7 linked regions of the Canis lupus familiaris genome follow. The protein of the gene in region 5 purifies or fractionates together with the protein of the main gene of each other region. This does not show direct contact. Links are inferred from orthologs where the notes say so. Each region holds a gene or a part of one and is shown on either strand. Other genes may lie near its edges.

Region 1 (3,977 bases), on a different chromosome or scaffold from region 5:
CAGGTTGTGACCCTGGAGACCCTGGATGGAGTCCCACGTTGGGCTCCCTGCATGGAGCTTGCTTCTCCCTCTGCCTGTGTCTCTACCTCTTTCTCTCTCTCGCTGTGTCTGTCATGAATAAATAAATAAAATCTTTAAACAAAAATAAATCTGGGATCTTTCCCTCTAAGAACCACAGGACGAGGATTGGAAAAGAATACCGAAAACAACCCAGTTGTTTCTAATTTACATCACCCAGAATCTTGGGGAGTCTCAAAATGGCAAATGAAGAACCTGTATCCAATTTTCCGTATTCCAAAAAGCTACCAGAAATTACACATTTCTTTTCTTTTTTTCGTGGTATTAAGCGCCAGGTTTCCTTGTTTTGTGGTAGAGGATATCAGATCCACATTAAACCGAGATTCTGGCTGAGCCGTGGTCAGATCAGATAGAACTGGTTTTCTCGTCATCGTCATGCTTAATTTGGTAAATTCATGTTTCAAGATGCAAGACAGCACGGTCGGACCAATAATAATCGATAACACTTGCTACGATGTTTGCAATTTACAAAGCACCGGTGACTGACTTCATCTTAATGGACTCCTCACAGCCGCGTGGAATGAATGGCTTAACAGCAGGGCCCAGACTCGTGGAGGGTCAATGCAGGGCTCTTCTCAGCCGCTCAGAGCCCCGGGTCTTTCCCGTAGCGTCCACGGAGGCTTCAGAAGGCGACTCGGAAGCACCTGCCATGCCCGGGCCGCGGGCTGCAGCCGCGTCTCGGCCTTCAGGAAGGCGGTCGCCCCACGCAGTGCTGCAGCCGGTCCGCGCCAGCGCCGCTCCGAGCGGGGGGCCGCGACCCGGGCGGCAGCCAGGGTCGGCGCCCAGAGCGCGTGCGCAGTCGCTTCGGCGCGCTCCCCTCCCCGCCAGCTCCCAAGCGCGGGCGCCACCCTATCATTCATTCCCCTCTCCGCAGCCCTTTCACCCTTTGGGACAGCCCCACCCCCTCCCTCCCTCCCTCCCCTCCCCCTCCCCCTTCCCCCCTTCCCCCCCGTACGTCACCCGCCGCTCGGCTGCGGACGAGCGCAGCCCGCGTTGCTAGGCCGCCGCCGGGGGCGCGCCGCGCGCGTCCCAGCCGCCCTCGAGGTTGTCTCCGCCGCCGCTCCCGCCCCTTCCGCCGCTCGCGCGCGCGCACGGCCGGCCCTCGGCGCGCCCCGGTTGGCTGCGGCGGGGCTCGCGGCGGTGGCGGCCTCGGCGGCGGCAGTGGTTTCTCCTCCGCTGTTTCAGTTTCCTCCGCCCCCTCCTCCCGTCGGACGCGGCTGTGTGCTCGCCTTAAACAAAAAAAAAAAAAAAAAGAAAAAAGAAAAAAAAAGATCAACTTTATTGTTCCTCAGCCCCACCTCCCGGCGCGGCGCGGCGCGGCGCGCGGCCTCAGGATGCACTGAGGTTGAGGGGAGGTGAGGGGAGGGAGGCGGCGGCGGGTCGCGGTCCCTCTCCGAGCGCCCGGCCGGAGGTGGGGGAGGCACGATGTCCGGGAGCCGCCAGGCCGGGTCGGGCTCCGCCGGGACCAGCCCCGGCTCCTCGGCGGCCTCCTCGGTGACTTCCGCCTCCTCGTCCTTGTCCTCCTCCCCGTCGCCCCCTTCGGCGGCGGCGGCGGCGGCGGCGGCGGCGGCGGCGGCGGCGTCCGGCGGGGCGGCCCAGGCCGCGGGGTCGGGCGGCCTCGGGGGCCCGGCGGCGCGGCCTGTGCTGGTGGCGGCCGCCGTGTCGGGCAGCGGCGGCGGGGCGGTGTCCGCGGGCCAGTCTCGGCTCAGCTGCGCGGCCAGGCCCAGCGCCGGCGTGGGAGGGAGCAGCTCCGGCCTCGGCAGCGGCAGCCGGAAGAGACCTCTGCTCGCCCCCCTGTGCAACGGGCTCATCAACTCCTACGAGGACAAAAGCAACGACTTCGTGTGGTGAGTTGGAAGAGCATCGCCCTGCCCGCCGCGGCACGAGGAGTTTGCGCGGTGTGGGCTGGCGGGGTGCGGCGGGAGGGTGGTCTAGGTGGTGCCGGGGCGGCGTCTGCAGACCCTCAGGCCGGCGGAGGACGTGGGGGTGACTGCGGAGGCCCGGGCTGCTGGGGAGGACGTGAGGGGAGTCCAAGGAAGAATTACGCGTCAGGGGGCCGAGAAGGAGGGTCGGGTAAATGGTGGTGCGTAAACGGGGAAAGTTGGGCCTTGCTTTTTTTTTTTTTTTTTTTTTGTTTTGTTTTTTTGTTTTCTGGTGAATTTTCTGCTTTCTGGTGAATTCGACACCCTGTCGGTCCGGATTTCTTGTTGAACTTGTAAAAGGAGAGGATTAAGCTTCCTGGGAGGCCGAGGGACGGAGTTGGTCAAATTTGCTTATTGGAAGTGTGGTAGATGGTGCTCCAGACGTGGGTATGGATATTTTAAGGAGAAGTAGTATTTCATGTCAGTATCCCTCGTGTGTGTGTGTATAAATATCCTCCCACTTCAAAGGGTAGGCCACTTTTAAATCTGCTGTTGAGGCTACTGTAGTCATAAAAATCTGTTCACAAAAATTTCCACTTGTCACTAAATGCCTTGGACGCGAGGGAACCACATTTATTCAACAGCATCCATGTGTCGGATGTAGCTGTACTACATTTGTGTAACAGGTTACAGTGCCCTGGAACTTCCGATCTGAGGAACGCCAGGTAGTAGACACCTTGTCATCATAGTTGGCATCTTGAACGATACACAGTAGTATACCGTTAGGATGTCTGGCAGAGTTGGGTTATCTATATTAAGTGAGAGATGGAGTGGATTGTCTTGCTGGAAGTGTTTTGGGATTTCTCATTGGGTTTTTGTATCCAGAACCCAATCCAAACAGTAGGAGTAGGAGAAAGGAATTGCTTCTAGTTAAGTGAGAACGGGTAGGATTTTGCACTTTTCTTTTGGAGGAAATTGTTGATAGACTTAGAACATGAGTAGGAAGTTGGCTTGCGCTGTCATTATAGGGGAAGTTGATTTACCTCAGGGTTGAAGATGATGTGAGTTGGCATCATTAAGTAAGATTGGGCTACACGATGGAACTGTAGGAAAGATAATTGATTAGAGTTTCTAGGTCTTGCAGTAAAATTATCTTCACTCCTATTTCTGCTTTGGTCTTACATTACTCTGGATTGAGACAATTAATTCGTTTCTCATTGAAACTTGGCTATAATTGTTATTTATAAATAATTTAACTAGCTTATGGGTGGGTCTAAGAGGTGTTTATGCTCATACCCAGTAAGTAGGGTGCCATATGATGAAGTAGAAGCTGATGAAACAAAATGAGGATTTTCAAAAATTCTCTTTCTCTTTTTCTCTTTCTTTTTCTTTTTCTTTTTCTTCTTCTTCTTTTTTTTTGTTTTTTTAAGATTTATTTATTCATGAGAGACCCGGAGAGAGGCAGAGACACAAGCAGAGTGAGAAGCAGGCTACCTGCAGGGAGCCTGATGTGGGGACTCCATCCCAGGATCCCCGGATCACACCCTGGGCTGAAGGCGGCGCTAAACCGCTGAGCCACCCGCGCTGCTTGGATTTGTCTTTTTAACCACCATTTGCATTTTAATTAATTAATTATTTTATTTTATTTTTAAAAGATTTTATTTATTTATTCATGATAGACATAGAGAGAGAGAGGCAGAGACAGGCAGAGGGAGAAGCAGGCTCCATGCCGGGAGCCCGACGTGGGACTTGATCCCGCATCCTCAGGATCGCGCCCTGGGCCAAAGGCAGGCGCTAAACCACTGAGCCACCCAGGGATCCCCACATTTTAATTTTTAGAGGGTTAAAAGAAAACAAATATGCCAGCATTCCTATAGGTGCACTGAAATAGTAGTGAAGATGTGAGAAATAAGAGAATCAATAATTTATTCAACAGATATTTATTTGGCACAACTGTCTGCCAGGCACCATGAGTTGTATATTGACTATTTTGTAGGGAATTAGAGAGCCATAGGATAATATAAGCAGTTGGCATTG
Region 2 (3,077 bases), on a different chromosome or scaffold from region 5:
TATAAGGGTTTCTTGTGATTCACAGTTATCCTTCCTGGTACACGGAGGCAGGCACCCTTACAAATGGAAATATCCCTTATAAATGTAAACATCCCTTACAAACAAGTAACTTCTATTCTGTTTTCAGAGCTTCTCCTGTGTCTGCAGTTTCTCAAAAATAATCAGCTTGAAATAATTCTTATGCCAAAGAGGCAAAATTTGAGATGGTATATTTTGCATGGATATCAGAATACAATGCTCCAATTTTGGCTGAAAAAAACATAACCATGATGGTGGAGAAAAAGCTGGCCTCGAAATTCGGCAGTGACTCATCCTTTCCAGGGAAATTTAAGCAGGCCAGTGGTTTCTAAGTCTTGGCCAGCACAGAGAGGCAATGGTGGGAAAAAGGATCCACATTTCATTATTTACATGAAAAAGTCAGTAATCTCCTCTTTGTCCTGTTCTGTAACTCCCTTTTTTTTTTTTTTTTTTTTTTCCCTGTAACCCCCTTCTTAATTCATCAATCTTTGGCCAGGATGATGAAAAGACCGGCCAGATCTTGATCCTGCCATGTGTGTCTAACCGTGCAGGGCCTGGAGTTAGACTGTACACTCATGGCACCAGCTGTTGGACCATGAGCTTGTCTAGGGAGGCCCCGGAGCAACCAAATTAGAAAGATCACCGCCAGTGAAAGGAAATACAAGTGCCCTATTCCTCCACGGAAACTCATGCTTTTCATATAGAAATGATAGCACATTTTTACATTAATGGGGTTTTATTGGGTCCATTATTTCTTTCCCCTGGATTTTATCTCAATACCTCAACCCCTCTCGTTTGTCCTCTCTGCCATCCAGTAACTTCTGAGGAATTGAAGTCAGGACTGTAAACCTGAGGTCAAAGGCATCACCTTACTGCTTGGGACCACCTCTTCTGGAGCTTGGAGGCCTTTTTTTTTTTTTTTTTTTTTTTTTTTTAACATTTCTAACCATGCCCCTGAGGTAGGCAGCAGGCCAGAAGGGTGACCTCTGGGTAAATGGTTCTTTTTTTTTTTTTTTTTTTTTTTTTTGTAAATGGTTCTTGTAATAATAAATTGACAGCTGTTGTCCGCTACTCATGGGAAATGCTGAAGCCAAGTGTACTCATTCCTCAAGTCAAGTGAAAATGGACCCACACTTATCCTAAATCCCATGAAAGAGTGGAAAAGATGAGCTCCCTTCTGTGGAAATGCTCTCACCATCGCTGATCTGCCTCATATCCTGGCTATTCTGGATGCTGTGGATCATTTCCAGGAGGATTTCTTTCTCTTGCTCAACAGCAGTTGCGGCTTCTCTCAAGGCTTCCACCCTATATAAATTGGGAAAACAAAAGTTACCACAGGGAAGTTTCCTTTTCCTCATCTCTATTATTTGCTCCATCTCAAGTTTAAAGATCCTTAGGAACACTTTTGAAAAGTTCTTTATTCTTTTTTAAAAACTTTAAAATTTTTCGGGCAACCCTCTTGGGGCCCTCCCTCTTCGGGAGCTTTGTACCATCACTTTACTATCGCTCAATAAACTCTGCTTTGCTGCCTGTCAAAAAAATATATATTTAAAAATTTTTTCTATTGTTTTAAATCCACCCACCCCAGTCTCCTTTTCCTCCTCGCGTGTATGGCATTCTATTTAGTGTTTATCTATTTTGTATTCGTTCATAACAAAATCTGTATTTGTGTTTTCATCTATTTTCAATTTATATTTCACTGTTTCTTTTTTCACTCAGCATTTTATTAAGAACCATCCAGATTCCTATGTGAATATCTAATCAGTAGCTTCTGATTGCTGCATGATACTCCATGTATATTCACCTGATTTCACCTCCTCTCTCCCAGTGAAAATGCTTACCATGTCCCCTTACTTGTCATCAGCACAAAAAAGCACTTCAATGAATACAGGTCCCCTATGGACTTGAATGAGAACCTTCTTAGGATTTATCTCAGGGCAGAACTGCTGAGACACAGGGTATGTGCACCCACCATTTAATTCGGTACTACCACTGTTCTCCAGAATGGCCACACTAGACCACTGTTGGGAAGCAAGTATTCTTGTCCCCTCAAAGGTTCTTCTAACTGGACTAAGAATCAAATTGACATGAGACAATTTACAGGAGAAAATCCAATTTAATAGTGTACATAGGGGAATCCACATACACATGGAAATTCCAAAGACAATTAGGCAAAATGAGGTATACCTATTATTCTGAAAGAAGGAGAAGGGGGTTAATGGTCTGGGACTTCAAAGAAAAGGAACGCAGGGTGATAAGAAGAGCAGATGTTTGGTAATTAGATGTTTGCCCTGCCATACAGATGGGCCACTCAGATAAAATTTATCTCTGCTTATAACCTTTATTCTGGGAAAGACCCCTAATTTAGATTCTTCTGTGTGGTTAAGGGAGGGGCAGAAGTTTCTCCTGAGCCTGCAGGCTCTCAAGTGCCTTCAGCTCAAAAGAACCCACATGCCAAAGTGGCACATTCTGGGGGGCCCTGTCCTGAACCCCTTCACAATATTCCCAGCAGTAAAGCATTGGAATCCCTGTGTTCCCACACCCCTACCAACACTCAGCATCTTCCAATTTCCTATTTGTTGCCAGTCTACTAAGTATACAGTGATATATTCATAATTAATCTGCATGTCTTTCATTACTAATAATTTTGGACATCTCTTTGTATTCTTGTTAGCCTGTTCACAGCCTTTGCCTATTTTGTTTTTTCTTTTTTAAATGGGGGTTACTGTCCTCTTGCTGATTTGCATACTCAAAGAATTAGTCCCATGTTAGTTACAGACATTGTAATAATCTTCTTCGATCCTATCATCGATGAATTTTGCCTGGGATATTCTTCACTGAATAGATATCCTTACTTTGAAGTGATCAAATTAATATTTTCTTGGTTTTGTTTGCCTTGTGGCTTATGCTTCTGAAGGGTCTTTACATCTGAGGTCATAAGGTATTTTCCTACATTTCTTTCTATTAACTTCATTGTTTTACTTTTCTCATATTTATGGCTTAGTCCATCTAGAATCCACCTATATGTGTTTAGGTAAGGATTTTTTGTTTTATTTTTC
Region 3 (4,043 bases), on a different chromosome or scaffold from region 5:
ACAGGAATCACCTTTATTATTTTCTGACCTTCATTTTGTCATGTAAAAAAAGATCATCAGTTGTGTTTCTACTGTGGACACTAAACAATTGTATCCATAACTCTTGTTATCTTTACATATCAAGTGACCTTTGTGGCTATAAAAATCTAGTACTGCAAGAGCAATTTTAGGAATAATTAACACATGCTTCCTTTACATAGAGCACATAGGACTTCAGAGTGTAGTTTCCAACTTCTTTAAACATTTAAACTCCTTTTTACATGGATAGAGTACTCACTTCATGCTTAAATATTTTAGTCCATATCTTTACATATTGGTAAACCAATATGTTAAGTTGTAGTGTAAGATGAACTTGTTTACGGGAATACTTTGTGATAAAGGAAATGTTATTATTAGGAATATCTGGTGGTTGTGAGCCTTTACAAGACCCACAGTTCTAATTTGCAAGTAGTTTCCCATGTGATTCAGTGTTTTCCTATTACACAGTGAGGCCAAAATGTAAACATAGATGCTAGGATTTACATATATATAAATTATGTATTTATATATATAGTACTTTTGTAATATATATATATTTTTTGTAATGATCAAAACAGCATTCTGGTCGGTAATAGTTGTATTTATAATACATCCATACTATAAATTTGAACTAGACAGATTTTACTAAAAGGGTGATTATTGTGTTGCAGATTTACATTTGAAAAGTAATTTTAGTTAGTAACAGATCTCAAACCCAGTGTTCTGATCCAGTCAGCAAAACCTACTTTGTATTTTAGATGTCTTTGTATTCTATCAGGAAAGAAAAACCATTAGTGAAAATCTAGTTTTTTTTTAAAGTCCATGTCCAGTCTCACCAGAAAGATCTCTGAATTTTTCAGTGAAAGAAGTTAAAAAGAGAGGGGAGAGGTATTTTGGGAATTCGAGGAGTTATTTCCTACCTTGGCTTTCACTATAAATTTTCTTCCTCCTCAACAATAATTAAGCTTTCTGACATCCTGAATAACTGTAATTTGTATTTCTACCTAAAAAGAGGTGTTTACTAAAAGAGGTTCAGCAGTGGTGGAGCTGTGGGGAGTGTATTAAGGAGACCATGGAGTCTGGCTTTCACTCTCACATGGTAAAGGGGGATTTGGGGGCTTTTTGTGGATATAATCCATGATGTTTAGCAGGTCATCCTAGTGACTTAAAAGTACTAAAAACTAATTTTAAATCCTAATGACTTGATTAACTCTTTTAGGGTACCTGAAGCACACCATACAACGGTTTTGAAAATCCTGTGTGGGGAATGGCTACCCAAGGTTTGTATCAAAAGTCTTTAGTTACTGAATCGGGGCTCTGCTTCATTGCCATTAACCCAGTCTGGCTCAGATCCCCCTGCTTTACTCTCTCCCTGCTTACTTGTCAGGCTACCTTTTGCTCCATTTTCTGCTCACTCCTCCTAATGGCTTGGTGAAATAGCAAACAAGCCACCAGCAGGAATCTAGTCTGGATGACTGCTTCTGGAGCCTGGATGCAGTACCATTCTTCCACTAATTCAGTGAGTAACTGTTAGGTGGTCCCTTAAGAGTATAGATATTTCATCACTGAGCTAATCCTGGCTATCGTTGTTTATTCTTGGCTGACTTTCAGATTTGACTATTTCTAACAATATTTCAATGGGTCATCACAGATATTTTAATGAATATAACATCTCCATGGTGGTAATGCTAATATTGTTTGATTTTTATAGCTGATTTGATGGAGCTGGACATGGCCATGGAGCCAGACAGAAAAGCAGCTGTTAGTCACTGGCAGCAACAGTCTTACCTGGATTCTGGAATCCATTCTGGTGCCACTACCACAGCTCCTTCTCTCAGTGGTAAAGGCAATCCCGAGGAAGAAGATGTGGATACCACCCAAGTCCTGTATGAGTGGGAACAGGGCTTTTCTCAATCCTTCACTCAAGAACAAGTAGCTGGTAAGTATTTTATTGCCTTAATAAAAGTTAGAAGGCAATTTTAAGAATGATTCTTTAAAAAGTTAGTATGTAATAGCTTAAATAAAATGGTGTGGTAAAGAAAACATGGAGTGATTGTAATGTTACCTTTACCACTTAGGGTAGCACAAATTCAGGTGAATGCTGAATTATGGACAGTGAGTGTTGAATTTATTTTTTCCAGATATTGATGGTCAGTATGCAATGACTCGAGCTCAGAGGGTGCGGGCTGCTATGTTCCCTGAGACATTAGATGAAGGCATGCAGATCCCATCTACACAGTTCGATGCTGCTCATCCTACTAATGTCCAGCGTTTGGCTGAACCATCACAGATGCTGAAACATGCAGTTGTAAATTTGATTAACTATCAAGATGATGCAGAACTTGCCACACGTGCAATCCCTGAACTGACAAAACTGCTAAATGATGAGGACCAGGTAAGTAAGGACATGGCTAGCTTTTAATCTGCTTTAAAGGAAACTCTCAAGGAGCCTCAGAATGTTTATCCGGTATCAGTATTTGAAAATCATAATTCTGTCTCTTAATTCCTATACATTATAGGTGGTGGTTAATAAGGCTGCAGTTATGGTCCATCAGCTTTCTAAAAAGGAAGCTTCCAGACACGCCATCATGCGTTCTCCTCAGATGGTGTCTGCTATTGTACGCACCATGCAGAATACAAATGATGTGGAAACAGCTCGCTGTACTGCTGGGACCTTGCACAATCTTTCTCATCATCGTGAGGGCTTGCTGGCCATCTTTAAGTCTGGGGGCATTCCTGCCCTGGTGAAGATGCTTGGGTAAGAAAACATGGTTAGGATGCTTGAAGCTAAGGAGGAGAAGGGTGCCATCACAGCCTTTCTGATGAGGCTTTTTTTTTCTTCCCAGTTCACCAGTGGATTCTGTATTATTTTATGCCATTACAACTCTCCACAACCTTTTATTACATCAAGAAGGAGCTAAAATGGCAGTGCGTTTAGCTGGTGGACTGCAGAAAATGGTTGCCTTGCTCAACAAAACAAATGTTAAATTCTTGGCTATTACAACAGACTGCCTTCAGATTTTAGCTTACGGGAATCAAGAAAGCAAGGTAAAAGAATTTTTCTGAGTATGGCTCATGGAGCATTGGGGAATCCAGTGTCATGTCCTTCTGTGGACTCTTGCACATTCTTTGTATGCCTCACCCTTTGTGTGTATCCTAGAAAAAAAGCTGGACATCTCTTTTTCTTTAAATATTTGTTTATATAAGGCTAGGTGATAAGGATATAGTGGGCATACTTAGAGCTTTCATACTTAGGTGGAAGATAGGCACTAATTAGAGATAATAACCTAATTACTATTTAATTCATGTATCTGGAAGAAGTAGAGGGGCTGTGATAGCATATACGTGAACCACACCCTGCTTGGAAGGTTTAGAGAGACCAGTGGAAGGAAGTGATAGTGGAGTTCAGTTCACAAGGATGAGGAAAGACTGACTAGGTGAAGGTGAGAGAGAGGAATTGACACCTTTGAAAGTCCTACTGAGAGAGGAGAGGGATGAATTTACAGAGTAAAGAAGAGGAAAGGTTTGAGATGAGAGTATTGAGATTAGCAGGGAAGGTCCTTCAGGGCCTTGTAGAATATGTTTTTAAAAAGTAATGGAAAGCAGTTCAGTATCAGCAGAGGCATGAAGTGAGGAGATTTGTTTTTAGAAAATCAGGATAGTTTGGAAGTAGGGGTCTGCAGGAAAGTAAAGGGCAAGAATGAGTAATTATTTTATGATACTTCATTTTAAGTAGGTGAATAATGATTAGGAAAAGCCAAGAGCCAAATCATTAGGAGTTCTAAGCACCTGTTCTGGCTCAAATTTTCAAGAAATCTGCTTTGATATACCATTGATATATGGACAGTACTGTTGCATACCAACATGGTTTCTGTTTCTTTTGTTCTGATCAGTGTGAGAGGAAGAATATTGGGGAAAAGTTGAGATATTCTTGGGAGTACTGGGATGCCTGAATTTGAGTGGAATGGTGTAAGAGGGGCTAAACGTGGTCCCAGTATGGGAATCTGGGGTAATGGGGTTCAGGG
Region 4 (3,500 bases), on a different chromosome or scaffold from region 5:
GCCACCAAGAACTTTGTTAAAGAGATTGCTTTGTCTAGTTGAAGTTTTTATAGATTTTTAAAGGACTATTGCACTAGTTAAGTAATACATTTAGCGTGTTAAAGTATGAATAATAAGGTCTGATTATTTTTTTCCAAAAGCTGTTTTGTTATTTTCTTGGTGGAGTCTGGAATCTGGCTGTGGAGTTCATTTTGTTTGCATTGTCATGAATGCCATGATGCTGTCTCTGCAGTTCTATATTAAAATTGCGTTACTGCTGTTGCAGTTTTGTTTTTAGAATAACCTGAAAACCTTCATTTTATATACATGGTTGGTTTTGGGGAAAAATAATTTTAATATTTGATCTTGTAAAAGTTAGTTTTGTTATCTCTTGAAAAATTGAGTTTCAACTGTCCTGCAAACTATGTACTTGGCTTTGAGGCTGATCTCTTCTAATAAATAAAAAACAATTTGCATTGGTGTATCTGTTGTAAGGTGACAACTATTTGATTGGTTTTATTTATTGACTTTATTTAGAAAGTGTGTGGCTTGCTGTGAAGCATGACTTGTAAATTTAGTTTACTGATGGCAAACATGATTGAAGACATTCAGGTAGAAAGTCACCTTAAAACAGCTGTTGTGTGTAGGCGACCAAAGTTATTTGAAAAGTGTTAATGTTGATGTTTTTAATATGACAGGCTAAGGGACCATTTGTTATGTATATGTGTATTTGTTCACCAACTATATCATGCTGGCCAAAATATGATCTGTAGCATGAATTAGGTTAATATGGTTGTTAGCTTTTTTTTTTTAGAGAAAGTGGATGATGTACATTTTAGAAAATTAGTTAAATTTACATAGCCATTGATAGGAGGTATGTTGGTCTGGTTTTGATTGTTGGTGAATAATAGGTGCTTTTCTGTAGAGTTGTGCACAGGTGTGCAGTAAAGCAAGATACTGGTGTTTAAATGTATTGTTTCTTGGTATCTTCCTTTTGTATGTCTTATGTAGTTGGTGAGGTTACATACGTGGAGCTCTTTAAGGATGCGGAAGGAAAATCAAGGGTAAGTGCTGTGGGCAATAATCTGCTTGAGGTTTAAAAGTTCCTCAGCAGTTTACTTTTTTGTATAATATTTGTACCAGTTTTTGGAAACTTAAGTTTCATTTTGCTTTACTTTATTATGCAAGATTTGAGGCTTTACACTAGCAAGTCTGACACTTATCCAAACCAAACTAGCTGCCTGGAAGGGATGGGTTTCATAAAGGGCATTCACTTTTCTAATGCTCTAAGGTAATGCTTCTTCTTAACCAACAGATTTAATATAGGATTTTTTTTTGTTGTGTTTTGATGTCTTCAAGGATATTTTAAAAGTTACTGAATTGATAATATTCCCTAAGAGTTCTATGAGAAGCCCATAGCTTAAAGGTGTTAATTCAGAATGTATGTTTGAAACTTTACATTGAAGAACTTAATTTGGTAGCCTGCAAGACTACATAAGAGGCAGTGCTCTGACCAATTGGTATGAATGACATTGATGATTAAATTGACATGGAAGGAATTGGTTGATAGTAGATTTTGATTTTTAGCAACAAGAAAGCAACATTCTGAAGAATACAGTGGAAAACTTTAAACAGTGTTTAATTATATTGGAAGAACCAGTTGGGTGCATGAGAAAAGCTTTGTCACTACATTCAAATGGCACTTCAAACAGTAATAATGACATGATTATTTTTAAAATGATTCTATAAGTTTGTTTCTTTAGCATAGGTTGTTTTTTTACATATTTAAACTGGATGCTATTAAATTGTGTGCAGCCAGTTTTGTCTAATAGAGAACTGAGTTAAAAAGATTATTTCCTATATTGATTTAATAAAACTGAAAGATATACATTAAAAACAATTTGTGCATCATACATCCTTTGGAAATATTCCTAACGACATGAGAATAGGTGTATTGAAACCTTCAGTTATTTCCTTGAGTTACTTTTGACTGAATTTGTGCGATGATGTTACTTTGTCTTAACTTAAAGAAGAGTCCTCTAAAAGTAAATATTTGCTCCAAGCTTTTTAAATGCTAGATTTTACTCTCTTACATAGATGGATTTAAACATTGACAGGAAATTTGTGGTCACTTGCCTGTTGTGTTCTGGAAGTGTAAAAAGACAAAATGTAATTGTGTTATTGGTTGCTTTTAATGACTTAAATATTAGAATCTGCCATTAACTTCATCTACTGATCTAAAACTTTTTTTCTTTTGCATATATTGACAAATCTACCTGGATATAGGGTTGTGGGTAAGAATTTTTTTTAAAGTATCAAGTCAAATTTAAACTTCTGATTGGGAAAAAGAAAACTTAGTATATAAACATTTCCTATAATTTTTTCCCCATTAAGTGTGGTTGAATTCAAAGATGAAGAATTTGTAAAGAAAGCACTAGAAACTATGAACAAATATGATCTTAGTGGAAGACCCCTGAATATTAAAGAGGTAAGATTTCTTATATTTGGAATAATTTAAACTTTGAATATAAGGGCATGTTTTCTTTGGATTTTCATCTTTGGGGATATATTTCTCTTACTGCAACTTTTTTCTTTTTTTTTCTTTCTTTCTTTCTTTCTTTTTTTTTTTTTTTTTTAGCATAGATGCTTACGAAAGCATTATATAATTGATGAAAGTTTTGCTTGTACATGCTTTCCTATTTGCCGTTAAGCAGTTTTCCTATGTATTTGATTTGTCGCAAGTTGTTAGAAGTACAGACACATGATTAAAAAAAAAATTCAGACATTTAATGATGGCAAACCTTAGGTGTGACTTTATTCGGTATAGACATTTTCAGTTTTTAGATTGTGTGGCTTAATTTGATAAATACAATAGATATTCTTGTAGTTTATGATAAAAAGTTGCTTAATCAAATACCTTATGGATTTGAATAAAATTGATAGTCACTTTTAATGAAAATTACTCTGAAACTGTGCCAGATTAAAATTAAAAACAAAACAAAACAACAACTTGTGAATCTATTAGTGAAATTGTAACTGGAACTTGAAAACCCCTAAAGTGGAGATAACTCCCTTTGTATGGAACAATAGCAGTATAAATCTGTTGAAAAAAGAATGGTCAGAAGATAACATGAGCAACTATTTACACTTAAGTGTAATTGACCTTGGTAATGATTAGTTTGAGTAGCAGTCATTTTCATGTCTTCCTTTAGTTTGTATTGGTACTCTTATCTGAATAGTTTAATCACAGACCGGTTATGTATATGTTTTTGCTAAATTCTATATTACGAATAATTGAGAATGTACTTAGGACCCTGAAGAGTCTCTACCAGCAAGCTTGCAAGTCATTGGTAGTAGAGCATTACTGTTGGTCACAGTTTAATTTGGTATAGAAGTGATTTGAATCCCAGCTCTATCAGTTTCTGTGACTAGGCATATTACTTATTCTCTAAACCTCGGTGAGTATAATAGTACTACTGATAGTACTCACCTAATAGGGTTTTTATGAAGATTAAATGAGA
Region 5 (4,111 bases):
CGGGGGCGGGGGGCGGGGGGCGGCGAGCGCGGCCCGGGGACCGGGGACCGGGGGGAGGGGGGAGGGGGGAGGGGGGAGCGCACGCCGCTCGGCCGCCCGCACCTCGGGGCGTCCCGCCGACGGTCGTCTCCCCTCCGCGCCCCCGGCCTCCTCTGGAAGGCGGCCCCGCGGAAGCCCTGCCCGGCGGCGGCTCGGCAGGAGGGTGGGGGCCCCGGACGCGGTGGGGGCAGCCCCCCTCGTGGGCGACGCGGCTGGGGCAGGGGGCCCGCGGGGCCGGCGGGGAAGCGCGGGCTGGAGCGGCCTCCCCGCCGGGGCACGTCGGCCGCGTTCGCGCTTAGGACCCAGCCAGCTGCCGAGCAACCGGCGGGGCCGCCGGGAGGGTCGGGGACGGCGCTTCCCGCCTCCTGACTTCAGGTCGGGACAGTGAGGAAGGGGGGAGCCGGGCCGGCGCCCGGAGGGGCGAGGGGCCGGGGCCGGGCAGGGGCAGGGGCAGGGCAGGGGCCGGGGCCGGGGCCGGGGCCGGGAGCGCGAGCCCGGGGAGGCGCGGGGAGGCGCGCGGGGCGGGAAGACCCGGACACACCGACTCTCGCGCCGCCTGTTTCCTGAAATCCTGGTGGGACCGTCGCCCTGAGCCCCCCCCGCCCCGCCCCTCCACCTCTGCGGGCCCTCGCGCCCCTTCCCCAACTCCGCGGCCAGCACCAAAAAAAGTAAATCAACGTGAAGTTTGAAGAAGAAAGAAAGAATCGTAGTCTTAGTGCTGTTTACCCACTTCCTTCGAAAAGGCGTGTGGTGTGACCTGTTGCTGCGAGAGGGGATACAAAGGTTTCTCAGTGGCTGGCAGGCTGGCTGTGGGAGCCGCCTCCCCCCTCCTCCCCCCCTCCCCCTCCTCCCCCCCTCCCCCTCCTCCCCTCCTCCCCCGCGCGGCCTGCGGCGCGGCAGGCCCCGCCCCCTTTCATGCAAAACCCGGCGGCGAGGCCGGGCTCGAGTGGAGGAGCCGCCGCGCGCTGATTGGTCGCCGGAAACCCATTTATTCCCTGACAGCCCCCATCACATGGATGGTTGTCTATTAACTTGTTCAAAAAAGTATCAGGAGTTGTCAAGGCAGAGAAGAGAGTGTTTGCAAAAGGGGGAAAGTAGTTTGCTGCCTCTTTAAGACTAGGACTGAGAGAAAGAAGAGGAGAGAGAAAGAAAGGGAGAGAAGTTTGAGCCCCAGGCTTAAGCCTTTCCAAAAAATAATAATAACAATCATCGGCGGCGGCAGGATCGGCCAGAAGAGGAGGGAAGCGCTTTTTTTGATCTCGATTCCAGTTTGCTTCTCTCTCTCTCTCTCTCTTTTCTTCCCCCAAATTATTCTTCGCCTGCTTTTTCTCGCGGAGCCCTGCGCTCGCGACACCCCCGCCCGCCTCCCTCCTCCTCCTCCCCCGCCCGCCCGCCCGCGGGCCCCCCAAAGTCCCGGCCGGGCCGAGGGTCGGCGGCCGCCGGCGGGCCGGGCCCGCGCACAGCGCCCGCATGTACAACATGATGGAGACGGAGCTGAAGCCGCCGGGCCCGCAGCAAACTTCGGGGGGCGGCGGCGGCGGCGGCGGCGGCGGCAACTCCACCGCGGCGGCGGCGGGCGGCAACCAGAAGAACAGCCCGGACCGCGTCAAGCGGCCCATGAACGCCTTCATGGTGTGGTCCCGCGGGCAGCGGCGCAAGATGGCCCAGGAGAACCCCAAGATGCACAACTCGGAGATCAGCAAGCGCCTGGGCGCCGAGTGGAAACTTTTGTCGGAGACGGAGAAGCGGCCGTTCATCGACGAGGCCAAGCGGCTGCGAGCGCTGCACATGAAGGAGCACCCGGATTATAAATACCGGCCCCGGCGGAAAACCAAGACGCTCATGAAGAAGGATAAGTACACGCTGCCCGGCGGGCTGCTGGCCCCGGGCGGCAACAGCATGGCCAGCGGGGTCGGGGTGGGCGCCGGCCTGGGCGCGGGCGTGAACCAGCGCATGGACAGCTACGCGCACATGAACGGCTGGAGCAACGGCAGCTACAGCATGATGCAGGACCAGCTGGGCTACCCGCAGCACCCGGGCCTCAACGCGCACGGCGCCGCGCAGATGCAGCCCATGCACCGCTACGACGTGAGCGCCCTGCAGTACAACTCCATGACCAGCTCGCAGACCTACATGAACGGCTCGCCCACCTACAGCATGTCCTACTCGCAGCAGGGCACCCCTGGCATGGCGCTGGGCTCCATGGGCTCGGTGGTCAAGTCCGAGGCCAGCTCCAGCCCCCCCGTGGTTACCTCCTCCTCCCACTCCAGGGCGCCCTGCCAGGCCGGGGACCTCCGGGACATGATCAGCATGTACCTCCCCGGCGCCGAGGTGCCGGAGCCCGCCGCCCCCAGCAGACTGCACATGTCCCAGCACTACCAGAGCGGCCCGGTGCCCGGCACGGCCATTAACGGCACACTGCCCCTCTCGCACATGTGAGGGCCGGACAGTGAACTAGAGGGGGGGAGACATTTTCAAAGAAAAACGAGGGAAATGGGAGGAGAGTAAGAAACAGCATGGAGAAAAACCCGGTACGCTCAAAAAAAAAAAAAAAAAAAAAAAAAAGTCATCACCCGCAGCAAATGACAGCTGCAAAAGAGAACACCAATCCCATCCACACTCACGCAAAAACCGCGATGCCGACGAGAAAACTTTTATGAGAGATCCTGGACTTCTTTTTGGGGGACTATTTTTGTACAGAGAAAACCGGAGGGGGGGGGCGTGGGGAGGGCGAGGGGATGGACCTTGTATAGATCTCTGGAGGAAAGAAAACTACGCAAAACTTTTTAAAAGTTCTAGTGATACGGTAGGAGCTTTGCAGAAAGTTTGCAAAAGTCTTTACCAATAATATTTAGAGCTAGTCTCCAAGCGACGAAAAAAAATGTTTTAATATTTGCAAGCAACTTTTGTACAGTATTTATCGAGATAAACATGGCAATCAAAATGTCCATTGTTTATAAGCTGAGAATTTGCCAATATTTTTCAAGGAGAGGCTTCTTGCTGAATTTTGATTCTGCAGCTGAAAATTTAGGACAGTTGCAAACGTGGAAAAGAAGAAAATTATTCAGATTTGGACATTTTAATTGTTTAAAAATTGTACAAAAGGAAAAAAAATTAGAATAAGTACTGGCAAAACCATCTCCGTGGTCTTCTTTAAAGGGGCAAAAGTTTTAGATTGTACTAAATTTTTTTTTAACTTACTGTTAAAAGCAAAAATGGCCATACAGGTTGACATCGTTGGTAATTTATAATAGCTTTTGTTTCCCAACTTTCCATTTTGTTCAGATAAAAAAAAAAAAGCAACAACATGAAATTACTGTGTTTGAAATATTTTCTTATGGTTTGTAATATTTCTGTAAATTTATTGTGATATTTTAAGGTTCCCCCCCCCCTTTATTTTCCGTAGTTGTATTTTAAAGATTCGGCTCTGTATTATTTGAATCAGTCTGCCGAGAATCCATGTATATATTTGAACTAATACCATCCTTATAACAGGTACATTTTCAACTTAAGTTTTTACTCCATTATGCACAGTTTGAGATAAATAAATTTTTGAAATATGGACACTGAAATTATGCTTGAGTCTTTCATTTATTTGGATAACACTGATTATACATAACTCCTCCGGGTATATACTGTGCTCAGCCAAGAAAGCAAAATACCTAAACCTTGGTATTCTAGTCCAGTAGCGTGTGCTAATGTTAATTGCAACAAATAAATGTCTGAATGATTAATTGAATATAAGTACTCTCAAAAAATTGAAATGCTTATATCATTTTGAAAATAGAAACTAGAGACATATATTGTAAACCCACCCTCTCCTTTTCTAAGCTGCATGAATAAGCATGATGGGGACTTATACTTAAAACTGATTTATGCCACTTGTTGCCAGAAAGAAGGAGTCAATTCTGAAAATTTTCATGTAGCTCAGCAGATGGGGTATTGAGCCAAATCAGAACCAGGTTGGCTGGTTTTGTTTTCGTTTTCCTCAATGCACAATGGCCCTTTGGAAACCTGGTTCTAGGGGAAAATGATGCTTCTTGTATCGGAATAATTGCAAACTAGACATGCA
Region 6 (4,109 bases), on a different chromosome or scaffold from region 5:
GTACTTGATTTTTTTGAAGGAGCCATGCAAGCCTTTGAGAAGAAAGCTATGAACTGGTTCTCTAGAAAAAAAAGGAATTCCTTAGAAAAAAGATCCATTCAAGAAATTGCCGGTTTGATCCCACTGACCATGAGTTGAAGAACGCCTTTGTAGAAGAGATATATCATCTTTCATTTCAAAGTAGTTAAAAAAACCCCATGAATCATTTAAAGCAGGAAATTAGCGGAAATTTCCACATTTTGTCTTTGTGCAGGTATGTGACGTGTTGCCGGGAACACTGGGGAGACTGGGGTGATAAAAGAAGTTGCTGCAAAGTCAGCTCTCGGATCCTGCGATAGGACCTTCTGGAAAGGTCCTTACATAACTACCTCACTTCTCCAATAAAAGGCTGTGTATTCCTTGCCCCTTAAGTGATTTTGCACTTCCACTTTAAATATAACTGCGGATGAAGGGCGAGATACAACAACAAAAAACCCCTAAAGATCCGCAGGATGATTAGGACCGCCCCAGGGAAATCAGAGCGAGGAGCGCAGAGCCCCCGTTCCTTCCCACGTCCCCGGGGACACACACTCAGCCGCCCTCGCAGACCCCTTCCCCGCCCCGGCGGGCTCCCCCGCGCCGCCTCCTTCCCTAACACGTGCTCTCCGGAACACTCACTCGGGAGCGCTCCCACCCCCCGGGGGGCTGGGCTCGGGGCCGCACCGACCAATCGGCGCGCGCCTTACAGCGCCGTGGCCCGACGACGTTGAGCCGCCCAATCGAAAGGGCCTTAGCGCCCGTTTCCCGGAGCCCCGCCCCCTCGCAGCCGAGCCCCCGCCCGCCGGTCTCCTCCCTCCTTCTCCTCCTCCCGTTCGCCCCTCCCCCGCCGCTCGGGAGCGGAGCCTGCGAGACGGAGAAACTGGGGCAGAAGTGAAGATGGCGGCGGCGGTGCTGGCGGCGGCGGCGGCTTCTCGCCAGTGACGCGCGGTGCGGGCTCATCTCCCTCCCCACCTCCCTAGTCCGGACCCCGTCCGCCGCCGGGACCACACCGTCCCCGCAGCCCGCAGCCCGCCCCTCTCCGCCCTCCCCAGCGCCCCCGCTCCCGACGCCCGGCCGCCGCTGGCGGCGGCGCGCCCCGAGTCCCGGCCGCCGGCCTCGCACTCCCGCGCGCTGTCGCCGGGGAGCGGGTGGCGTGTTGATCCGCCCCTGCCCGCCCCGCCGGACCGCCGGGCCGCGGACACACGCCCGGCAGGGAGGCGGCGGCGGCCCCTGCGCATTCGCTTCCCTCCATTGGGGACTGGGAGGCGGCGGCGGCGGCGGCAGTGGGTTTTGGGGAGGGGAAGGGGGCTCGGAGGGGGTGGGCGAGAGCGGGAGGGGGCCGTCCTCGGGAGGAGGACGAGAAGGAAGCACCATGACGTCCATCCATTTCGTGGTTCACCCGCTGCCGGGCACCGAGGACCAGCTCAATGACAGGTAATAGGGCCGGCGGGCTGGCGGGCGGGGGGAGGGGCGCCTCCCCGCCCTCCCCTCCCCCACGAGGCCGCGCCGGGGCGGGCGCCCGTGTTTACGCGCCGGCCGGCGGGCGCGGGGGGGCCTCACCGCCCCCGGCTAGGCCCCTTCCGGGGCAAACTTCTGGTCCCGGGGGTCCGGGGCCGCGGGGGGAGCGCGGTGGAGACGGTGCCCGCGGTGTAGACGGGAAGGCGCGCTGCAACCTCCTCCTCCCCCCTCCCCGCCCCGTCTCCCTCCGAGGAGCCGCGTTGAACTCGGCGGAGATGATTGCGGGGGGGGATCGGGCTCCCGGCGGGGGGGGGGCGGGCTGTAATTACCGCCCGGCCCAGGCCCGAGGAATCCATATTAGTCAAAGTTGAATTGAGACAGACAATGCGGATGGGGGATGGTGGAGGTAAAAAGAGAGGGAAGAAGAGAAGCGGGGCGAGGGGCACGGGGGTAGACCGGGCTCGCCCGGGCCCCCGGGAGCTGTGTCCGGTGGGATAGTCTGGACCTGCCAAGTCTGGAGATGCCAGGGGAGGGGGAGGCTGATTCCCGGCAGATCGCGTCGGGGCGGGGGGGGTATGGAAGCGCCATGATTATTGTTATTATTATTAAATTTGAGCTCCTGCAGTGAGGTTTGCCTGCCCGGGGAGGGGATGAATTCAGGCGGGGGTGGGGAAATGGATTGGATTCCCTTTGCTCTCCTTCTTCCGTAATGGGGCTGGTGAGCTCCTTCTCCCAGCTCCTATGGTGCGAGCTTTTTTGTTTCCTTTTTTATTCTAATGATAGTGTTTTCCTGAGTTGTAATTTGACAGCTGAAAACCGTGCGTAGAGTCAAAGGAAAACTCTTACGTTTGCAGTTCGCAATGCTGCTTTCTTAACAAGCTGTAAATTTCTGGGATGGGTTTGCTATGGGCGGAGGAGGAATTATGATTTTTTTTTTTGTCTTTAATAAGAAGGCTATTTTGGCTGTGGATTCCTCCCTTTGCCTCCTCCACTGTTCCTGCCAGTTTAGGATATTGAATTGCAGGGCCGCATGCTCTCAGGGAACTAAGATAAAGCAGGAAAAGTTCCTTCACTGTTGCAAAACAGACATGGAGAAGGTTGAGGGAGGCCTCCATTAAAGTAAGTCTTAGAATTTAGGACTCCGATCTAATGATGGGCTGAATATTTAAAGGGGCCAGAAAGTGGGGCATTTTAAGCCTTCCTCCCCCACAATGATCTAGCTGCTTTCTATTTCTTTTGAGTATAAATGGCCATCTGGACCCAAGTTTAGAAGTTAGATAGGATTTTTGCTAAGTGACCGGGTGACATAAGTTGCATGACGTTGTTTGTCATGCGCTTCCCGGAGGGAGGAAGAGGCCTAACTTTCGGCTTAGACACTGGCCTCGGTCTCCGAGTATCTATCCGCCTCAGGTGGGGCGGAGAGCTTCTCAGTCCGAAAGCTGGGGGCTTAGTTTGTGGCACTGGTTCAGATTTGTCTAATCTTTGCTGTAGCCAAATTGTTGGCTGTTCGTGAAACTTTCGAAATACTTGCTGAAAATACTGAAATAAATTTTGTCATTTATTTTCTTTGTTATGTAATCCTAATTCTGATTTCACTTCATTAGAGATAGAGATCTTTAAGACTTAAAAGATTTTTTGGGTAAATTTTGGAACCGGGCTATTAGTGAGGATAGCTCTACTGTCATTCATAGAACCAAGTTGGTAGGGCTTGTAGTGTAACTTGTCTTGTAATTTAGGACATTGCACCAGTCAGGAGAGAGGGTAGGCCATGCTTTCTGTATTAGTCCTGCTTGATACCAAGAATCCTGACTGGCTTACTCAGTTGACTATGCCAAAACCTATTTTGTCTTGGGCATTTTGATTCATTTTTGTACATTGCTTTTACTTTAGCTTGTCTGAGAAATTTACAAGTAATGTATCTTTTTTTAAGCTACCTTTTCTTTAATTCCTAGTGTAAACAAGTAATCAGTTTTGTTTTTGAATCCCACAGGGGCAGTATACAATACTAAGAATATTTAGACCACTTTGAGTTTTTATGAACTAGAAGTGAGTTTGATTCAGATTATAAAACGTGTGCATCGAGGTGGCAGATATTTGAGAAAATAGTGCTGTAGGTCAAATTTTGGGGACCTGTAGTTAAGCTGGTAGCATAAAGAATGGTCTGTTGAGATTTGTGAGGACAGCATTGAGATAGTCATGCACCCTGTTTTGATGTAGCTGACTTACAGTGGAACTATTCTGTGTCTCCCCTTCAAAGGGAAAGATCCTCTTTGCATACCTCCTTGCAGAGTAATAGGATCAACCTATTGCTGCATTGCTTGACAAATATCTGTTTACAAAACAGACTGGCTTCTGGAGCTCCTTAACCAGAACAAAAAGTCCAGAATATTTTCATCTTCACATTAAAAAAAAAAAACAAACTACCAAGATTTAGTAAGTTTTGGTAATAGAAACTATAAACTATAACTTGACTTTTATATAAGAAATGTGTCTGTGCCAGAAATGAAATGATAAATGATGTTTTCGGATGAAAAATGGTATAAATAAGTAGACTTTATTCTTTACATGAAAAGCAGTAAGATTGGACAGGCAGTATGGTATAAATTGGCGAGTAAAAGAAAACTTAAGAGGCC
Region 7 (3,500 bases), on a different chromosome or scaffold from region 5:
CGAAAAGCATTTTCAGCCCCCTTCCTTCTGACCTGAATGGAAAACTGCCGGCTACACTCTCCACAGCATTTTATTAGAACACTGACCGCATCAGTCATGATTGGGAGAACACTTTACTATTAAGTCCTGAATCATTAGTTACCTAACTCTTCAACTAATTCCACCCGTTGGCATCTAACATTTTCCATGGCAGCACCTAACACAGAAACAAGCAAACAGCACGTAACCAAGAGATATTTTGAAGAACTGTACTGAGTCCCTCTTGTCTACTTTGTATCCTTTGTCATTTTCCAAAATGTTTACATCTCTCATCCTCTGTTGGTTTTGCTCTCCTGTCTCACTCTAGCACAGGACACCAGCGTATAAATTGTGTGATGTGTCTGGCCTTCCTTCATCACCTCAGAACAGATCAGTCTTCCAGGCTCCCCAGAGATGATAGTAACTTCTGATCTCAATACCTGATTTTCTTAAGGGTGCTAATCATATCATCCAATGCCTTGCGGTAAGCACTGATCACCACTGTTGGGTGCATCTGCTGCTCCAGGAAGTGCTCAGCCACAGACAGCATCTCCCCCGCTGAAAAAAGATACACCATAATGGTTTTTAAAAGTACCTGGATTTCAAGGCAACTTCTTTTTCTTTTTTTTAATTTTTTTTTTATTATTATTTATGATAGTCACAGAGAGAAAGAGAGAGGCAGAGACATAGGCAGAGGGAGAAGCAGGCTCTATGCACTGAGAGCCCGATGTGGGATTCGATCCCGGGTCTCCAGGATCGTGCCCCGGGCCAAAGGCAGGCGCTTAAACGCTGCGCCACCCAGGGATCTCTCAAGGCAACTTCATTGAGTTTTCAAAATACTATTATCTTTTTTCCTAAAATACTGTCCCAAAAGCTATGCCAATTGGCTGTTAATACTATTCAAATTTTATACTTTATACAAGGGAATTCATAAAAAAAAAAAAATCATCAGACCTATTTTTTTTAAATGGTGGTGTGACAGAAGCCTTTCTTTTATTAAAAGACTTTACCCATTTATTCATGAGAGACAGAAGAGAGAGGCAGAGACATAGGCAGAGGGAGAAGCAGGCTCCATGCAGGAAGGCTGATGTGGGACTCGATCCTGGGACCCCGGGATCACGCCGTGAGCCAAAGGCAGACGCTCAACGGCTGAGCAACCCAGGTGTCCCTCAAATGTTTGAATTCTTGAATACTTTACACCAATTCTAAGTGACCAACGTGTACACTGAAAGATAGTAATTTTATTTATTTTTAAAAGATTTATTCTTTTTTTTTTTTAATTTTTTTTTTTTAATTTTTATTTATTTATGATAGTCACAGAGAGAGAGAGAGGCGCAGAGACACAGGCAGAGGGAGAAGCAGGCTCCATGCACCGGGAGCCCGATGTGGGATTCGATCCCGGGTCTCCAGGATCGCGCCCTGGGCCAAAGGCAGGCACCAAACCGCTGCGCCACCCAGGGATCCCAAGATTTATTCATTTTGAGAGGGAGAGCACACGTGCATGTCTGTACTCGCATTCAGGAGAGACAGAAGGGGAGGAGGGGACAAGACTGCACTAAGTGGGGAGTCTGAAGCGGGGCTCAGTCTCACAGCCCTGAGATCATGACCTGAGCTGTAACCAAGAGCCACCAGGTGCCCCCAAAGATAATTAAGCATTTTAAAAGATAATTAAGCATTTTAAAAGATGTTTGAGTAAGTTCACTCAGAAAAGAACATGTACGCCCTGCTAGAGAAGTCAGGATAACTTAAGAAAAATGAGTCTAGGAATGGCAGAGCTACCTAGACATATGGATACTTAACCCATCTAAGCGCTCCAGGAGATTCAACAAAGATTGTTAACTAGAAATTCTGCCTGATGTCTACCGCTCATCTTCTACCAAAAAAGTAAGAAATCATATAAAATCTGTCCTCCCTCTTTCGACTCCAAATTATCTTTCACTCCTCTTCATAAAAATTGGGTCTAAAGTGCTTAGTGGGCACCTAGGTGGCTAAGTCAGCTGTATCTGCCTCTTGGTTTCAACTCAGGTCATGATCTCAGAACTGTGAGATGGAGCCTTGCATTCAGTGGGGAGTCTGTTGAGATTCTCTCCCTTTGCTTTTACTCCTCTCCCCCACTCATGCGGGCTCTCTCTCAAAACTAAAATAACAAAGTGCCTAGTTGGTGGTGACTCCAGTACATCTCCACCCAATTTGATACATTCTAAAAATAACTGAAAATGCCACTTTAAAAGTTCACGTAAGGGATGCCTGGGTGGCTCAGTGGTTGGGCATCTGCCTTTGGCTCAGGGTGTGATCCCGCAGTCCCAGGATCGACTCCAGCATCGGGGCTCCCTGCATGGAGCCTGCTTCTCACTCTGCCTGTCTCACGAATAAATAAAATCTTTAAAAAAAAATTAAATCAGGGGATCCCTGGGTGGCTCAGTGGTTTAGCGCCTGCCTTCAGCCCAGGGCATGATCCTGGAGACCTGGGATCGAGTCCCACGTCGGGCTCCCTGCATGGAGCCTGCTTCTCCCTCTGCCTGTGTCTGCCTCTCTATCTCTGTGTCTCTCATGAATAAATAAAAATCTTAAAAAAATTTAAATCAAAGTTCCTATAATAATTCTATTGTATGGATTCTACTTTTAGGCATGTGAGTCAACACTATAAATAGGCATTCCTGGGCAGCCCTGGTGGCTCAGTGGTTTAGCACCACCTTCAGTCCAGGGCCTGATCCTGGAGACCTGGGATTGAATCCCACGTCGGGCTCCCTACGTGGAGCCTGCTTCTCCCTCTGCCTGTGTCTCTGCCTCTCTGTCTCTCGTGAATAAATAATAAAAATCTTAAAAAAAAAAAAAAAAAAGAGGCATTCCTTAAAATAGTTCTCATTTCTTTATCAATGTGTTACTGTATGTAGGTTTTTAAAAATGCCTTGATTAAAAAAATTCACCATTGACTTAAAACATATAGAGAAATAAAGGCAATGTTTTCAGAAGTGATTCTCCAAGATCCTATAGAAAATGGGAGATCAGTTATTAAAACTTGTATGGTCACGACTCATTGTCAAGATTCATTTGTCAACTTCATTACTTGCAAAAACGTTATTTGTAAGCCCCAAATCAGCATTGGGGACACTTTCATGGTCACACACATGTGCAGAGGTGGAAAACTCTGAGTCACTCAATACAATGCTCTGCCTTATTTCAGCTGTCATACTTTCCGAGGTATAGTTTCATTTTTGTATTTTTAAAAAAATATTTTATTTATTCATGAGAGAGAGAGAGAGGCAGGCACAGAGACATAGGCAGAGGGAGAAGCAGGCTCCATGCAGGAAGCCTGATGTGGGACTCAATCTTGGGACTCCAGGATTACGCCCCTGGGTCGAAAGCAGGCACTAAACCACTGAGCCACCCAGGGATCCCTCATTTTTGTACATTTTGTTGGTGATTCCACTGTTTGAACTGGCCCCCAAGTGTAGCACTAAAGTACAGTCCAGTTTTCCTAA

The links.
Region 1: the proteins of SOX2 (region 5) and COP1 purify together in Homo sapiens (affinity purification with western blotting; 3 studies listed by BioGRID). This does not show direct contact. The link is inferred for Canis lupus familiaris from reciprocal best matches to the Homo sapiens genes SOX2 and COP1.
Region 2: the proteins of SOX2 (region 5) and BAG2 purify together in Homo sapiens (affinity purification with mass spectrometry; 3 studies listed by BioGRID and IntAct, with this or other methods). This does not show direct contact. The link is inferred for Canis lupus familiaris from reciprocal best matches to the Homo sapiens genes SOX2 and BAG2.
Region 3: the proteins of SOX2 (region 5) and CTNNB1 purify together in Homo sapiens (affinity purification with mass spectrometry; 3 studies listed by BioGRID and IntAct, with this or other methods). This does not show direct contact. The link is inferred for Canis lupus familiaris from reciprocal best matches to the Homo sapiens genes SOX2 and CTNNB1.
Region 4: the proteins of SOX2 (region 5) and MYEF2 purify together in Homo sapiens (affinity purification with mass spectrometry; 3 studies listed by BioGRID and IntAct, with this or other methods). This does not show direct contact. The link is inferred for Canis lupus familiaris from reciprocal best matches to the Homo sapiens genes SOX2 and MYEF2.
Region 6: the proteins of SOX2 (region 5) and UBR5 purify together in Homo sapiens (affinity purification with western blotting; 3 studies listed by BioGRID and IntAct, with this or other methods). This does not show direct contact. The link is inferred for Canis lupus familiaris from reciprocal best matches to the Homo sapiens genes SOX2 and UBR5.
Region 7: the proteins of SOX2 (region 5) and CCT3 purify together in Homo sapiens (affinity purification with mass spectrometry; 3 studies listed by BioGRID and IntAct, with this or other methods). This does not show direct contact. The link is inferred for Canis lupus familiaris from reciprocal best matches to the Homo sapiens genes SOX2 and CCT3.

Annotation. Positions count from the first base shown.
Region 1 is NC_049228.1:23,216,169-23,220,145, forward strand, and holds the start of COP1 (E3 ubiquitin-protein ligase COP1), read left to right. Parts: upstream 1-1,177; 5' UTR 1,178-1,503; coding exon 1,504-1,925; intron 1,926-3,977. UniProt on the Homo sapiens protein: E3 ubiquitin-protein ligase that mediates ubiquitination and subsequent proteasomal degradation of target proteins.
Region 2 is NC_049233.1:24,633,002-24,636,078, reverse strand, and holds part of BAG2 (BAG family molecular chaperone regulator 2), read right to left. Parts: intron 1,324-3,077; coding exon 1,214-1,323; intron 1-1,213. UniProt on the Homo sapiens protein: Co-chaperone for HSP70 and HSC70 chaperone proteins. Acts as a nucleotide-exchange factor (NEF) promoting the release of ADP from the HSP70 and HSC70 proteins thereby triggering client/substrate protein release.
Region 3 is NC_049244.1:10,789,130-10,793,172, forward strand, and holds the start of CTNNB1 (catenin beta-1), read left to right. Parts: upstream 1-1,243; 5' UTR 1,244-1,285; coding exon 1,286-1,298; intron 1,299-1,729; coding exon 1,730-1,957; intron 1,958-2,159; coding exon 2,160-2,413; intron 2,414-2,537; coding exon 2,538-2,776; intron 2,777-2,864; coding exon 2,865-3,066; intron 3,067-4,043. UniProt on the Homo sapiens protein: Key downstream component of the canonical Wnt signaling pathway.
Region 4 is NC_049251.1:14,705,047-14,708,546, reverse strand, and holds part of MYEF2 (myelin expression factor 2), read left to right. Parts: intron 1-990; coding exon 991-1,043; intron 1,044-2,265; coding exon 2,266-2,273; intron 2,274-2,373; coding exon 2,374-2,467; intron 2,468-3,500. UniProt on the Homo sapiens protein: Transcriptional repressor of the myelin basic protein gene (MBP). Binds to the proximal MB1 element 5'-TTGTCC-3' of the MBP promoter. Its binding to MB1 and function are inhibited by PURA.
Region 5 is NC_049255.1:15,025,169-15,029,279, forward strand, and holds SOX2 (transcription factor SOX-2), read left to right. Parts: upstream 1-1,481; 5' UTR 1,482-1,509; coding exon 1,510-2,478; 3' UTR 2,479-3,611; downstream 3,612-4,111. UniProt on the Homo sapiens protein: Transcription factor that forms a trimeric complex with OCT4 on DNA and controls the expression of a number of genes involved in embryonic development such as YES1, FGF4, UTF1 and ZFP206. Binds to the proximal enhancer region of NANOG.
Region 6 is NC_049234.1:4,153,791-4,157,899, reverse strand, and holds the start of UBR5 (E3 ubiquitin-protein ligase UBR5), read left to right. Parts: upstream 1-1,309; 5' UTR 1,310-1,390; coding exon 1,391-1,452; intron 1,453-4,109. UniProt on the Homo sapiens protein: E3 ubiquitin-protein ligase involved in different protein quality control pathways in the cytoplasm and nucleus. Mainly acts as a ubiquitin chain elongator that extends pre-ubiquitinated substrates.
Region 7 is NC_049228.1:41,556,186-41,559,685, reverse strand, and holds part of CCT3 (T-complex protein 1 subunit gamma), read right to left. Parts: intron 577-3,500; coding exon 459-576; intron 1-458. UniProt on the Homo sapiens protein: Component of the chaperonin-containing T-complex (TRiC), a molecular chaperone complex that assists the folding of actin, tubulin and other proteins upon ATP hydrolysis.